Astyanax mexicanus: one gene and its partner. The protein of the gene in region 2 interacts with the protein of the main gene of each other region in a biochemical or structural test. Links are inferred from orthologs where the notes say so. Each region holds a gene or a part of one and is shown on either strand. Other genes may lie near its edges.

Region 1 (7,722 bases), on a different chromosome or scaffold from region 2:
CAACCTCAATGTACATAATATATGCTTTGTAACAATTAGCTTTGAAAGAGCGCGCTGACGTACTGATCCTGAATCTGTAACCAAAGGCTTTAATTGGCTTAAACGTTGATGGTAAGTTTGTAAGGACAACGGGTAATGAGTGTTGGCTCATTTTCTTCCTAAGGTCATCTTACAACATGCTGAGTAAGTTCTAATGTTATCATCTGTTTAAGGTGCCATTATCTGATGTGATTCTTGGATTTTATTTAGTTTCAGCCATGAAATTCACTTATGATGTTGTGTTTATGTATCAGAAACAACTGTAAGAGATGTGTCTATTACCTCTGTTCATAGGCTTTCCTCATTTTAAAAGGCAGCCAAGTTTATAACACTATTAGGGATGCAACTAATCTGTCTATTAATTATTTTTACTAGTTGATTAGTCAACATTTACTTTAGTCATGCCCTCCCTTCATGTCTGCTTCCGGTCGGCAAGGTTCCTGTTCCGATGTATGTTTTACCAAACTGTGACAGCTTAAATCTTAGGACCCTTGGTACATTTTGCAGGATATTTCCAAGTAGGTGAACATAATGCAGCATACATCTAGCAATATGCTTCAAGAACACTTGCTGGTAAAAGAAATACTACAATTTAACAAGTCAGCCAAAAGCTCTAATCAGATGGGATTAGTTTTACTTGGGGATGTTGAGCAATGCTTACAATTTTATGCAGAGTATTAGTCCAATTTCTGACAGATTTGAATATAATTGCCATGTACTAGAAATAGCACAAAACGTAAGGACATTTGTGGTTAGTAGATTATTTCTAAGTTGTAACAATGCTTCTTGGCAAAAAATCTTATACCGCTGGAAAGACTGATAATTTTACTTTTAATTTGTGCCACATTTTTAAGGAAAATGCAATTGTGGAATAAGTAGCAGAGCTGAGTATGTTGAATATGGCTTGCACCCATGAGAACTTTGCCATATCCTCTCTGCCAATGCCAATCAGCTTATTCTGTCATTGACTCGTCTTCTTGGGGTGTTGTCTTCTTGGAAAGCCCCTTTGAGGCCTTTCTCTGACACCCACATGGTGTCAGAGAACTGGTACTATGGCTCACTTCAAATAATGTCACAACTTGGTTTTGAGGAACACCAGCATGAAGTTGTTCTATCGCATGAGCCCTATACAGATCAGTCAAACAAGGCATGCTGTTTCTTGGAGCAGACACCAATTAACCACTGTAGCAGGGCCCATGCTTGATTGGAAGCACCTGGGGGTACCAGAAGCTCAAAACTATTGTCAATAGCCACAGCAAAATAAGATGTTTGGCACTGACAGAGAAGATTTTCCTTCCAAATGTGGCAACATTTAATAGGGTAATTAACAGGCTTTTTAACAATATACGATTTATTGCAAAGAATCATTGTTACTACAAAGAAATAATCTACCAGACACAAATGTTCTTACTTGTTGCGCATTTCAAAACAGGCTGCTATGCTGCTTTGGGTCCACAATTAAAGTGGTTAGTAAAGTAGTGTCAGCGCTGTGTGTCTGTAACTATGCTGAAGTTGTTCATCAAAACCTGTGGTATCAGAAGCTCAAAACAAGAGTCAATAGCAACAGTAAAAATAAGCTGTTTGGCAATGACAGAGAAGATTTGGCAGATATTTCATGGGCACAAGCTACATACTCAGCTCTGTTGCTCATCCCACAAATGAATGTTCCTTACAAATGTGTCAGCATTTATTATGGAAATAAACAAGCTTTCACTTCAACGACATAAAAGATATGATGAAGAAATAATCAAATTGCCGTTTTAAACTTGTCACATTTATAAACAGGCTGCTCTGCTGCTGCATGTCCAGGTTTATTGGGAAGAGGGGGGATAATGGTACATTATGACATTTTGTTATAGCTAAACAATGTTTGGAGACTTCTGTTCTTATTTATTTCCATGAAATGAGCCTTTACATCCCTTAAAACAGCAGGAGAGGGTGCAGAACCGAGGCTTTCCCGTTTCTAAACACCTGTAGCGTTGTAAACTTGAGCTAATGGAGACTCACTTCCTCAAACACTCACTCCTCCTGTGAGTCGTGAGGGCGCTGTCAAACCAAGCCAAAAAAGTGAGGTAGCTGGTGAGGTAGATAGATAGGAAATAAAGTAACGTTATACAAAAAGTGGTGTGAAAAGTACAGTAGTGTCACAGCACTGCGTGTCAGTCTGAAACTGTGCTGAAGTTTCTCAGGCTTGGTAAAGCTCTCTAACGGGCTGTCAGGAGCTCCTCTCTCTCTTACCTTGCAGGGGAAGGGCAGCGTGGAGGCGACTTTCTCCATCGCCAGGTTCCGTATGCTGGGTGTGAGAGGCCCGCGGCAGGTCGGGCAGCAGCTCAGCTTCTGTCGACATTGGTTGCAGACCAGGTGGCCGGCCTGGCACTGCAGGATCGGCGGCAGCACGTAGTCGAAGCACACTGGGCACTCGAACAGCGCCGTCAGCTCGGCCGACTGTCCGGGTAGAGCAGCAGCAGCAGCGGCGGCAGCAGCAGCAGCCGCAGTAGGTAACGTTACAGCGGTCGCAGCAGTCACAGAACCGGACCCAGAGACGGAGCCCGAAACCCCCGCAGCAGCCGCCGCCGCTGCTGCTGCTGCCGCGGCCGCAGCGGCTGCAGCAGCGGCAGCTGCCGCCGCTCCTCCTCCTCCTGCTGCTCCGGAGCCGCCGTGTTTACTCCCTCCTCCCGCCTTACCGGCTCCCAGTCCTCCGCCCGCTCCTCCCGCTGAGGACGGACGGCTCATGGCGAAGCGGGCAAACTAAGGTTAACCGACAGTTTTAACCCACGACTCGGCTGGTATGAGAGCGGTGCTCACACACACACACACCGGCAGCGGCGGCGGCAGCTCGTAGTACAACACACGCTCCTCTTCTCCCAGACCCAAACACACACACACACTCATACACACACACTCAGTCACACACTCATACACACTCATACTCACACACACCCGCGGATACAACATGGCCGCCACTGTTTGAGAAAAAGGAGCGAGGTCATTGGCTGACAGCGCTGTGATTGACAGCCGCCTAAGCCAATAGCGAGGCGGATGGAGGCTCTTGTGTAACGGCTGTGTGTGTTTACACGCAGCGGCTTGTAGTGACGGAGAGAGTGAAAGTGAGCGGAGCGGATCAGCGTGACAAACAGCCGCTCGCTCTCTCTCTCCACTGATCTCGGATCGGTTTCACCCAGTGTATCGGTCGGTATTATTGGTATTATTGATCGCATGCCGTATCAGAGAAAAAAAAAGAATGCATATTTTCACAAACAAATTTAACCTAGTTATAATTACTGCCTGCCCTCATCGAAGCTTCATGCTGTAAAATAAATGTGATCATAAAATGAGAGAAGTTCAGTTCGGATCCCTTTATCAGATTTACCTTTGGAGTGATCATATAAACAAAAGTATTAAAAGTACTGGCATTCATTACTCAGGTAAATTAGTGGTACAGATAGTAGGCTTATAGATAATATAGGTAAGGAATTTGGGGGCTCCAAGCAAAATGGACCCCTGTTCCAGTTCGTTACTAGCATGGACGCCCAGGCAGGTAGCTAACAAACAGTTGTTGTCTGGAGCCCCAGGCCAGCTCAGGCCTCAAGGCAAAGGATTGGTTTGCTTGCCTTGTTGCAATGGGCCTGATTAGGGTTTACAATATTTCTGTAGAAGCTGAAGTATCAACTGAAGCTTTATACCTAAGTACAAATACTGGTTTCAAAACTACTTTAAGATTAAATTAAAAAAAATATCAGTGGATTAAATGTGATGCAGATAGGATTTCTTAATTTATCAGGCTATCATTAACTTATATATGTAAATGACCTCTGCTGACTGACTTCCCTCTATAATGCCACATTCAAAAAGAAGCCCAGAGAGAAACACTGTTTGTAATGCTAAATGAATGGTAATAAACTGAACAGGCAGATATATGTAAAATAGGTGTGCTGTTGTTTTCATCGTATATAAAGACAGTATGGACATGATTCTGAAGCAGGAAAATAGTCAGTCATGTCTGAACTGAAGATTTAGTAACCTAGCATTCTGGGTTTTTTTTGCTAATGGCCAATGACAACACAGCTAAATGCTATTACCATGGCATAAACAGAACAAATTATTGCGTGTACAGTGCTTTGAGCCTATATGACTCTTTCCCCATGCATTTCTTACTAGCTTAGAGTTACAGAATCAGAAAATATTACAGGATTTTACACAGACATAACTCTGTTTAGGAGTTGTTCTGCACACTTTTTAGTTAAACACCAAAAAAAGTTTGCCTTTAAACCAACTATTTTGTTAAATATTGATTAAAATCAAGGAAATCACAGGTTATATATTTTATAGGAATATCAGCATGACAGGATATTCAAAATCAATATATTTATAAGAAAAGCCTGGTATTATTACAAATTTTTAAACTGTTTAACTGCTAGACAGCCATGTGTTTAGGCCTTTATTAGAGATGTTCTCTTTTACTTAAGGCTTTAAATAATGGAAACTAAATCTATAGCATGATTGGCTCACTTAATGCTATAATTTATGTGAGGGAATTCCTGATATCCTGATGTTCTGCTTGAGCTTTAGCTACATGGTTAACCCTCCATGTTTGTTCTTAGCTTAGTTTTGATTACAACACACTTTAATTTAAATGAACTCCACACTGACAGAAAGCTGATCACTCATTCATTACCAAGCAAGAATAACAGAAAACATAAAAACAGAGAATGTAATGAATGCATGAAAATTCACCTCTTAAAACAGAAAATGATTTAAATATCCCCCCTGTTGTACAGCTATTTCATTTAATACAATCGTGACATTTAAGCAAAAACAAAGAGAAAGAAGAAATGGGTTTAGCAACTACATTTTATTTTTACGTAGAAAAAGTCAGCAATCAATGGTCAAGGTCATAAGGTTACTGGTATAATCAAAAACAACATGATGGAGCTGATCGAAAGCAAAATTATCATTATATATTTACACGCGTATCAAGCAAGGAGCATCTAAGACTACTGATACAACTTATGCACAGGGTCATAAAGCATCATAGTCGTCGTCATCTTCATGCTTTCTTTTCAGAGAGCCCGATTCGCCGGAGGAGTTCTGAGACACCATGTTGGTCGTAATGAGGATGTTCTTGGAGCCGATGAGGGAGGGGTTGATGAGGACATTCTGGACTGTGCCTGGAGTAGTCGGGGTGGCTGTAAATATAACCAGTGTGACAACAGTTATTACTAATAGGAGGTAAACTAAACTAATGAAATTGAGTACCAATATCCCCTTCTTTTACCCACAACACAAACAAAAAACAAAAATTAATCATCCAACACTATGATGAAGAAATTTCACCCAGCAGTTATTAACATTGCACTGACCTGTCTTGACAGAAGCAGCCTGTGAGGAGGGGATCTGAACAGTGAAGCGCTGGCCTGTCAGTGACACAGGGGTTCCCACTTTACTGCCCATTGTCTGCACTGAGGGGGTACCTGAAAACCAGCAAAAAAAAGCACAATGATGCTCAGGATTCAGCTCATGAAACAAATCCCTTAATTCCCAAGTTCTGGGAACTGTGTTTATTACTAAAATTTATGCCAAAACAAAAAAGGACAAAAGAGTAAAACAGAGAATCACAAATATTCTTTTCCATATATTACCTTGCATTATTGTTCTATTTAAATGTACAGTTCTAGAAAAATAATTTAATTCCAGATAGAAATATTGTCATTTAGAGCATTTATTTGCAAAAAAAATAGAAATTGCTGAAATAACAAAAAAGATGCAGAGATTTCAGACCTCAGAACATGCCTAGAAAACAAGTTCATATTCATAAAGTTTTGAGAGTTCAGAAATCCATATTTGGTGGAATAACCCTGGTTTTTAATAAGTTTTATGCATCTTGGTATGGTACCGACCACCAGTCTTGCACACTGCTTTTGGATAACTTATTTTTAAGTGGTCTTCTGTTTTTTTAGAGCTGTATATCCAGCTCTTCCGTGAGTGGTCAGTTCTTTAACAATTATTGGGACCAGCTGAGGAATAAAGGTTAAAGAAGCAGCATTATTTAATTTCCTGATCAGACAGGAATTTTACTAAGGGGTTTTTCTCAATTGTCATACAATTTTCTCAATTTCACTACAACAAAACATGACCTTAGTCTTGCTCATTTTCTGTACATTCCGATTTGGACACTGCCCCCTAGTGCACACGTTCACATGCAAGTGGGTTTACAGTCACCAAAATGTAGCCATGTGCTCACAGACTTGTATAAAAGTATTATGATAAAACAACAATAATTATTATACTTCATTATTATTACTGTACTGCATTATATTACACAATAAAAACAAGAGGAAGCATTTAAAAACAAAGAATACTTTAAAAACTATATTAGTTATAGGGAAAGTCTGCCTTAGGCGGTACACTGCAGTGCACTATACTATTATGAGAATACTCAGAAGAACTCACCGAGTGTTGGTGTGCTTGGTCTACTGGAAACTGCCCCCACACTGAGCCGTGGTACTGTTATTCTACCCGCAGATGAGGACACCTACATAAGAACAGACAATCGATTAGAACCACCCCACAAATCAAATTAGTTAAACTGTACAGTACTTTTAAAACCTTACTGAAATTTCACAGACAGCGCCTCTCTATATGGTTCAGTTTGCATACCGGTACAAATGGTAAAAATGTTCAAATCAGAGAAACAGTTATTTAGAATAAAGTACCCGTATACTACACTAGATTATAATTAAGTACTTTTTGAGAAGTTAAGATAAATCTTCACCAATATTGACAACACACTTAAAGCTCTGTGTATGAACTGTGGGAAAAACGCAGCATGTGCATAAACACAGGCACTTCTTCCACTGGCCATTAGTCTATTACTGTAGCTTCGAGTTTTGTAGTTATTGGTACTAGCTCAAGAACAGCATCAGCAGGACCTAATGATACTCAAGAGTAGGGCTGCCACGATTAGTCGACTAGTCACGATTATGTCGACTATTAAAATAGTCGACGACTAATTTAATAGTCGATTAGTCGTTTGTTTTTTTTTCTTTGTTTTTCTCTCCAAACTGCTGCGACTGCCTTTCTGTCCTGGACGCACATGCGCAGTAGTGGAAACCGGGGTAGGTAGTGGACGACATCTCAGGACATTATACAGACAGGCTCTGGTTTCATGGCTACCCCGCTACAGAACTCAAAAGTGTGGGATCACCAAGAAAATAAAAGTGAAACGCGTGCAATGCAATATCTGCAATGAAGAACTTGCCTTCCTCGGCAGCACAACCGCGATGCACGAGCACCTGAAAAGGAGGCATGTTGTGGCTGATTAAATGACGAAGAAGCTAAATTGCTATTTAGCTGCTAAAATTAGCGTAAACAGAGCGTTAACTTAGTACTTAACTTACTCATCTTGATAGCTTTAAAACAGAGGTCACTAATAGGCGGACCGCGATCCGGATCCGGACCCAGACGTTGTCACAAATGCCGTCCCAAACCGATAAACTACAGAGAAGGATTTCATTCTGACAGTGGCTTCTGTTTTCAGTGCTTTTCGGTGCAGTAAACTCACAGATCAGTCATGTGTGGTGTAAAATCACCAAACGCTCTCCTCTGCCAATCCGATCTGTGCAGACCGCTGCCCTGTGTACGGTAATGTACACAATATCTGGACAGAGAGGCATTTTTTATTAA
Region 2 (7,118 bases):
AGCAGAATATGTTGTCCATCTTCCCATAATTAAATATGAATTATTATTTTTATTACTTTTTATTACTCACTGTAAAAAAAATAAAGAAATAAATGCATTTTGGTCAGTTTGCATTCTATTAAATTCTAATCATGAATTTATAGCGGATCAGGTGAGGACGATATATAGACTTTATTTAATCACTACATATTATTAAAGCGAAATATATAAATGCTTTAATATATAAATAAAATAAGACACTTCCAGGCACTCTTTAAATACTAAATAATATATAAAATTGACACTGTGCAGCATAATTCAAATCAGTATCTGAATAGTTGTTTATGAAGTTTTAATTTTACACTTCAGGACATGAAAATTTTACAATAGTTTATTCATAGATTATTATTATTAGACAAATCCATGTGAACTAATTTGCATAATCATTTTGATTTAAGGCTTTTTCTGTAATTAAGTTACATGCATAAAGTATAATACATGATAAATGAAGTTTACATCTGGGAATATTCAATCCTAGAGAAGTAAAGAGAAATACCTCTCTTTGAGGAGTCTGATAGATTCCTGCAGGGCTTTCTGCTGCTCTCGTAGCTGCTGATTTTTATTGTAGAATTCCTCCAGTTTTTGTGCGTCGCTTATAAAGAAAACAAGCAGCACAAATATCACTGACAGAACACTGCAGGTACTGCTTTAACCCTTTCAGACCCTGCATTCATTACAATGGACATCTTGTATTTTCTTTATTTTTACACATAAGACTATTAACACAGTTTGAACACTGTCTGCCCTCTGTACTGAAAAAAGAACAGTAGCACTAAAGCCATTGAGGCAAAGTAAGAGCTAATTTTTACTAATGTAATTTAGAACATTTTTAATGTTTAATTTTAATTTTACTGTTTAAGAATGGTTTATGAAGTAAAAAGGTCAATGTGAAATAAAAAAAAAATACACACAAACTTCCAATGTAATGAAAATAAAAATCAATTATTAAATAATTTTGTTAATTCGCTGTATAGATTAATTTGCTATATAGATTTTATAGTAAAAAAACATCACTGTAGTTAAAACAGGTCTGAAAGGGTTAAAACAGCTTAAAACACAGTAAACAAGAAAGGGCCAAAAACTCTACTTACAGACAACGCTCCTTCTTCAGCTTGGTCACCTTTGACTGCAGACCTACAAAAAAACATTTGGAGTCTCTTAAAATCCAGAAGTGTCAGATACTGCTATTTTTTTTACATATGTAACACTGACAGGCTGTGTGTTAGTAAAACCCTGAGATGCTTTTATGTCTACATTTGGAAAATATATGTATTTATTTAGCATTGTCGAGTAGCGCAGTGATACACCAGCTCACAGACACCTCAAACTGACCAGATTGCATGAATCTGTGTGCACTCTGCGGTGCATGACAATTTGCTGCAAAGTTCAGCTTTTAGTGGCAGCTGCTAGTTTTAGTATAGTACTACCACTGACTCACTTACTAGGTTCAAACAAATTAACCAATTAAAACACATTTAGCTTTTAACCAACTGTATACAAACAATCAAATGAACAGTTTCTGCTGAGAAATTTGTTTTTACATTTATTGTTTAATATAGGAACATAATCACTGCTGCCCAGCATTACTGTAGTATTAACGCTATTAAAATGTAAATTGTTGTGCAAGCTCTCCAGAGACAGTACCTTGTACTACAGTATCATGGCACTCCCTGAGGCGGCTCAGTAGATCCTGAAAGAGCTCTTCATTATTGCCAGAGGTGCCACTGAACTGAGGACTGGTCATTGTCGTTTAGTCCACCAAGCTACCTCATCACATGCCGAACAGCCAACATGCACACTCTCTGTTGAGACAGAAATAGCAGTTAAATTAACCGGTGTGAAAAAATCTGAACGTGAGATATGAATATTAATAATGTTTCTGTTAAATTTTATAGTTTTAAGTTCATACTTATTTTAACTTGGAGCTTTACATTAGGTGATTTTGGTTGAAAACAACATTAACATAGAAAGTAAATACAAAAAAATGCAACAAAAAAAATCAATATACATAATATGCTCCAAATACATCTTTTTTTAATCATATCCTATATGCGGCCACCTTGACAACAAACCACCTCCACACATGTTCTTTTGATGAAATCCTGCAAATAAAATCCTGACTAAACTAGAAATGCTCTGTAAAGAAGAATGGTCCAAAATACCTTCAACCAGACGCTTCAACAAGACTCTCATTGGAAGCTTTATGAAGCATTTAGAGGCTGTTATTTTATTTCTGCAAAAGCAAGATCTACTAAATATTAATGTATTTCTTCTGTTGGTGCCCAAATTTATTCACCTGTCTGATTAGATTAAATAATAATTGCAGACTTTCTGTAAATCCTATAAACTTAATTTTACTTCTCAAATATCACTGCGTTTCTCTGCTATATTATATATTTAAACACAATTGCTGAACTGAAAACAACCAATGATTTATAAGGGAAACTGTTTTTAATTCCACTGTAACGAGCTAGTTATTTAGCTAGTTAGCTTAACTAGGTTTACAAACATAAGCTTAGCTATTTAGCTTAGCTATCTGTATAAAGTCTAAAACTACAGCTACAGACAGTTTAAAAACACAGTTATTTTAGCTATAACTCGGAAAGTCGAAGCTCACTAAAAACCCTATGTGTTTTCCACTAATAAATACTAACGTAGTTACGTGTTTGTGTGTGTTTATCTCGTAAAAACGATTCATAAATCCGAAACTGCATTAAAACCAACAACCCAAACAAACAAAAAGACAGACTTTACGCACGTTTTTAAACAGAACCTGCGGGCTAACCTAAATAACACGCGTAACAGAGTCTTACCTATATCTGCTTGAGTCTAAAACACACATAATTTTACACATAAATCCTAAAAACAGCAGGAAAACGTTAAATTCTTACCCAGCTGTTCCCAAACACACAAACGAACAGCCCGCCAGACCTGAAGCCCGTCTGACCCGGCAGCAGAACAGCGCCCCCAGCGGCCGGACGGAAACACTTCACCCTGCAGGCAAACCAGTACAAAAACATCAGAACAATAAAATAAACTAAACCCACAAAAACATTTATATACAGCTCTGAAAAAAAAAAATAAGAGAGCACTTAAAAATGATGAGTTTCTTTGATTTTACCAAATTAAAAACCTCTGGAATACAATCAAGAGGAAGATGGATGATCACAAACCATCAAACCACCAAACTGAACTGCTTGAATTTTCGCACCAGGAGTAAAGCAGCATAAAGTTATCCAAAAGCAGTGTGTAAGACTGGTGGAGGAGGAGAACATGATGCCTTAAAACTTTACGAATATGAACTTGTTTTCTTTGCATTATTTGAGGTCTGAAAGCTCTGCATTTTTTTTGTTATTTCAGCCATTTCTCATTTTCTGCAAATAAATGCTCTAAATGACTAGAATATGTTTATTTATTTGGGAGAAATGTTGTCTGTAGTTTATAGAATAAAACAACAATGTTTGTTTTACTCAAACATAAACCTATAAATTGCAAAATCAGAGAAACTGATTCAGAAATCTACGGAGCCCCTGGCCTGAAGGGACAAGGTGTAACTTTTTTTAGTATGTGTATATTTAGTATTTATTTTTTGTTTTACTTAGTATGTGGTGCTCACCACTTAGTATGTGGTGCTTATCACTTAGTGTCTGGTGCTCACTACTTAGTATGTTGTGCTCACCACTTAAGGCCAATTTCTACTTCTGCGTCAAACCTCTGCCAGAGCCTTTGCGTCGCCACATACCCCACGCCATGGCTTGAGTGCAACTCTCTGTAAATGTAATTATGCGCGGTGCTACACGTACGGTCGCTGTGATTGGTCCGCCGGTTCTAACTGCACGCGCACGCAGAAGTATAAACGCGCTCTGCTACATAGCACAGTTTTGCGGGATATGTAGGCTACATCGTAGGTTCGACTCAAAAGTATATATTGGGCTTTAGTATCTGGTGCTCACCACTTAGTATGTGGTGCTCACCACTTAGTATCGGGTGCTTACCATTTTTAACGTAAAAAAACACCATGTCATTTCAGAGGATCCGTAAGAAACTGAAGTGGTCTCTTAATTTTTCCTATAACATACTATAACATAATAAACAGTGGAAAAGTACTGAGGCTGAAGGAGGGGAGCCGCTGCTGCAGTGAGCGCTCTCACCGCTGGGGGGCGGTATCGGTGAGTCTGACTCGCCACAGATGTCGAAGAAAACTGGGGCGCCGGAAGAGAAGGTAAACTTATCGCAGCGCAGAACAGCTGTTTTACAGAAGCTTTACCGCACTTTACCGCAGATTTAGCCCGCCTGCGCCGCTCCGCGGGGCTGTACTCTGGTGTAGAGGGGATACAGATCCGCCGGTATGATTTATAAGCAGCAGTTCGGGCTGAAAAGCCGCGTTTCAGGAGGTTTTTGTGGGTTAGCCGCTTAGCTAAGCTAACTACATTTTCACTGCCTCGACATTCCGCCGCCTCAGACCCAAAAACACCCCAAAAAACAGCCAAAAAAAAACAAAAACACCGAAAATACCGCATCTGATTCGGGCAGGAGACCGACTGGAGGAAAACACTTTATAAAGGAAAGGAAATACAGCTTTCCCAACTGAAGTAAGCCTCTATTTACCTTTATAAACAGTATATTATACCTAAAATTAGCCGATTTAGACTAAAATCACCCCAAGAGTTTAGCAGTAAAACACAAAGTACAGAGCTTTGTTATGCAGATCTTACCAGCAGAGACTTTAATTTCAGTTATCAGCTGTATCACCTGTATATACAGCTCTGGAAAACAATTATTAGACCACATCAAAATAATCAGTTTCTCTGATTTAACTACGTATAGGTATATATTTGAATGAAATAAACATAGTTTTTCATTGTATAAACGACGGACAACATTTCACCCAAATTTAAAATAGTCATAAAATCACCAGGATCACATATCATTGATGTAATTCTGACTAGTCCTACGTTAGGTTACCTTTCTCTTAACTATAATTACATTTTACTAGTAAAAACTCCAGTTAAATATATCTACATTTATTCTGTTACTAGTAGAAATTGCAGATTCAGATATATCTACACTGTAATTCTTCCTATGTTTCTTCTTTAATCTATTATTTAATCTAATTAAATTAGATTAAATCACTCCAACCATTCAAACAGTATCTAGATTACCTAACTGCTCTGTAATGCAGTTCTTACCTATGTTAGTTTACCTTTCTCTTTACTATAATTACATTTTTAGTAGTAATACTTCAGTTACAGATATATACTTACTAGTAGAAATTTATCTCTGAAATTGATGCCCATATCTACACTGTAATTCTTCCTAGTAAATGTTCTGCTTTGGAACATTGATACCAAATTCATAATTAAATCAGATAAAATGAGTGAGCAGCTTATTCGTGTTTTTTTCTAGCTGTGGGCACATGACTGTATTATTTTTAGGCTTTACAAACTGTGTTGAAAGCTATGTTTTTTAATTGTATGTACTTAAACACCTTAACTTGTATTCCACTTATTTATGTCTTTCATCACAAGCCTTTTAAACCCGCTCTCTATATAAACATGTAGACAGTGTCTAGGCTTTAACATTTTTATGAATGCTTATACATACTTGCTTGTACCAGCGTTTACTTCGTATTTATTATTTATCCATTTATGTGTTCTTTTTTCTTTAGTATGCTCGGTCCCAAAAGAAAGATGCCAGCTCAAGCTGAACCTCAAGTGAAGAAGAAAAAGGTGGATCAGAGTCCGGCAGCGTCCGATAAACACGGTCAAACATCTCAGACGACGACCAAGAGGTCCTTGAGGGCTGGAGTCTCGCAGAGGAAAGGTTCAGCTCAGTCCAGCAAGACGTCTAAAGCTCATCTGAAGGACGAGAAGGAAAAGCAGCCGCGTCGCTCCTCCAGGCTGAAGATAGCCCCTAAAAAACTGACTGGTAGGAAAAAGCGGAAGGCATCGAATGCATCTGCTGCACCAAAAGAGCTGGGCTCTAAAGGTGGGAGTAAAGCTTCAGAGATACCTGGAGAGAAAGTGTGTCAGAGTGAGCCTGTTCTGAAAAAAGGAAGTAGGAAGTACGCTGGAAGAGCAAAGAAAGGTAAATGCTCATCTCCCTCGTCTGAAACCGTTAGCACGGTGTCGGCAGCTGTGGATCCTGTGCGAACGGAGCACAACTACGGTAGACCTCCTGATATACAAAGCGAAGAGACGACGATGCCGGAGAAAAACAGCGTGGTGGACATCATCGACGTCACAGACCAAGACCCTCTCCGAGCCTCTGGTGCTAAAACGCTGAGCAAGATACCGCTTAATGAGCATAAAGAACTCCCGCCTGATCCTATCGAGAAAATCACTGTAACTTTAGATGCTAAGGTGAGTGTGATGAGAAAGTCCCCGCCACCTCTGCAAGCCCTTTTTAAAGTTATTCAGGAGACCAGCTTCAATGGTAAAGATGTGTCCGACGAGGTCGAGGTGGTTAATACGTGTTCTGTACAGGATGCTTCTGTACAGGATACTACTGTACAGGATACTACTGTACAGGATACTACTGTACAGGATACTACTGTACAGGATACTGCCCAAGATACAGAACTGTCTGCTGCTTCCGAAGGATCTCTGACCTCAGAAACCTTTCTGAATCTGGACGATATTGAGATTGAACACTGCGTGGTTGAGATTGAAACTGTGGAGGAAGTAGTTGGCGGGAACCTTGGTGCCTCATCAGAGAATTGCAATGCGCTGCCTTCGCAGGACTTGCAGCAGTTGCAGGATTTGCAGGAGGCATTAGCTCTAAAAGAAACCAGCAAAGCTGTCGTGTGCAAAGAGAGCACCTCGACTCCATCTCTGCCACAGGATGGCGCTAAGGACTCCTCCACACCGGGTTCTGTTGCACAGGCCAGCGCTGAACCTCCAAAGAAGCAAGCGATGAATCCTCAGGCCAGAACCAAGGCCCGATTAGCAGCTCTGGCTGAGGAGAGAGCAGCTGCTGCTAAGAGGCAGCCCCCCAAGCAGCTCAACCTCTTAGCTCTGTGTGAGGAAATTGCAGATGATATCGCATCGGATGCACCAGCAAAAACTGCAACACCTACA

The links.
Region 1: the proteins of rbbp8 (region 2) and siah2l form a complex in vitro, tested with the Homo sapiens proteins (2 studies listed by BioGRID). The link is inferred for Astyanax mexicanus from reciprocal best matches to the Homo sapiens genes RBBP8 and SIAH2.

The regions. Positions count from the first base shown.
Region 1 is NC_064424.1:17,165,571-17,173,292, forward strand, and holds the start of siah2l (E3 ubiquitin-protein ligase Siah2), read right to left. Parts: upstream 3,004-7,722; 5' UTR 2,773-3,003; coding exon 2,278-2,772; intron 1-2,277. Other genes in the region: taf9 (transcription initiation factor TFIID subunit 9), read right to left, coding at 5,059-5,225, 5,400-5,510, 6,490-6,571. UniProt on the Homo sapiens protein: E3 ubiquitin-protein ligase that mediates ubiquitination and subsequent proteasomal degradation of target proteins.
Region 2 is NC_064413.1:973,936-981,053, reverse strand, and holds the start of rbbp8 (DNA endonuclease RBBP8), read right to left. Parts: upstream 3,020-7,118; 5' UTR 2,931-3,019; intron 1,842-2,930; 5' UTR 1,784-1,841; coding exon 1,684-1,783; intron 1,174-1,683; coding exon 1,131-1,173; intron 632-1,130; coding exon 536-631; intron 1-535. Other genes in the region: N-acetyltransferase ESCO1, read left to right, coding at 5,709-7,118. UniProt on the Homo sapiens protein: Endonuclease that cooperates with the MRE11-RAD50-NBN (MRN) complex in DNA-end resection, the first step of double-strand break (DSB) repair through the homologous recombination (HR) pathway.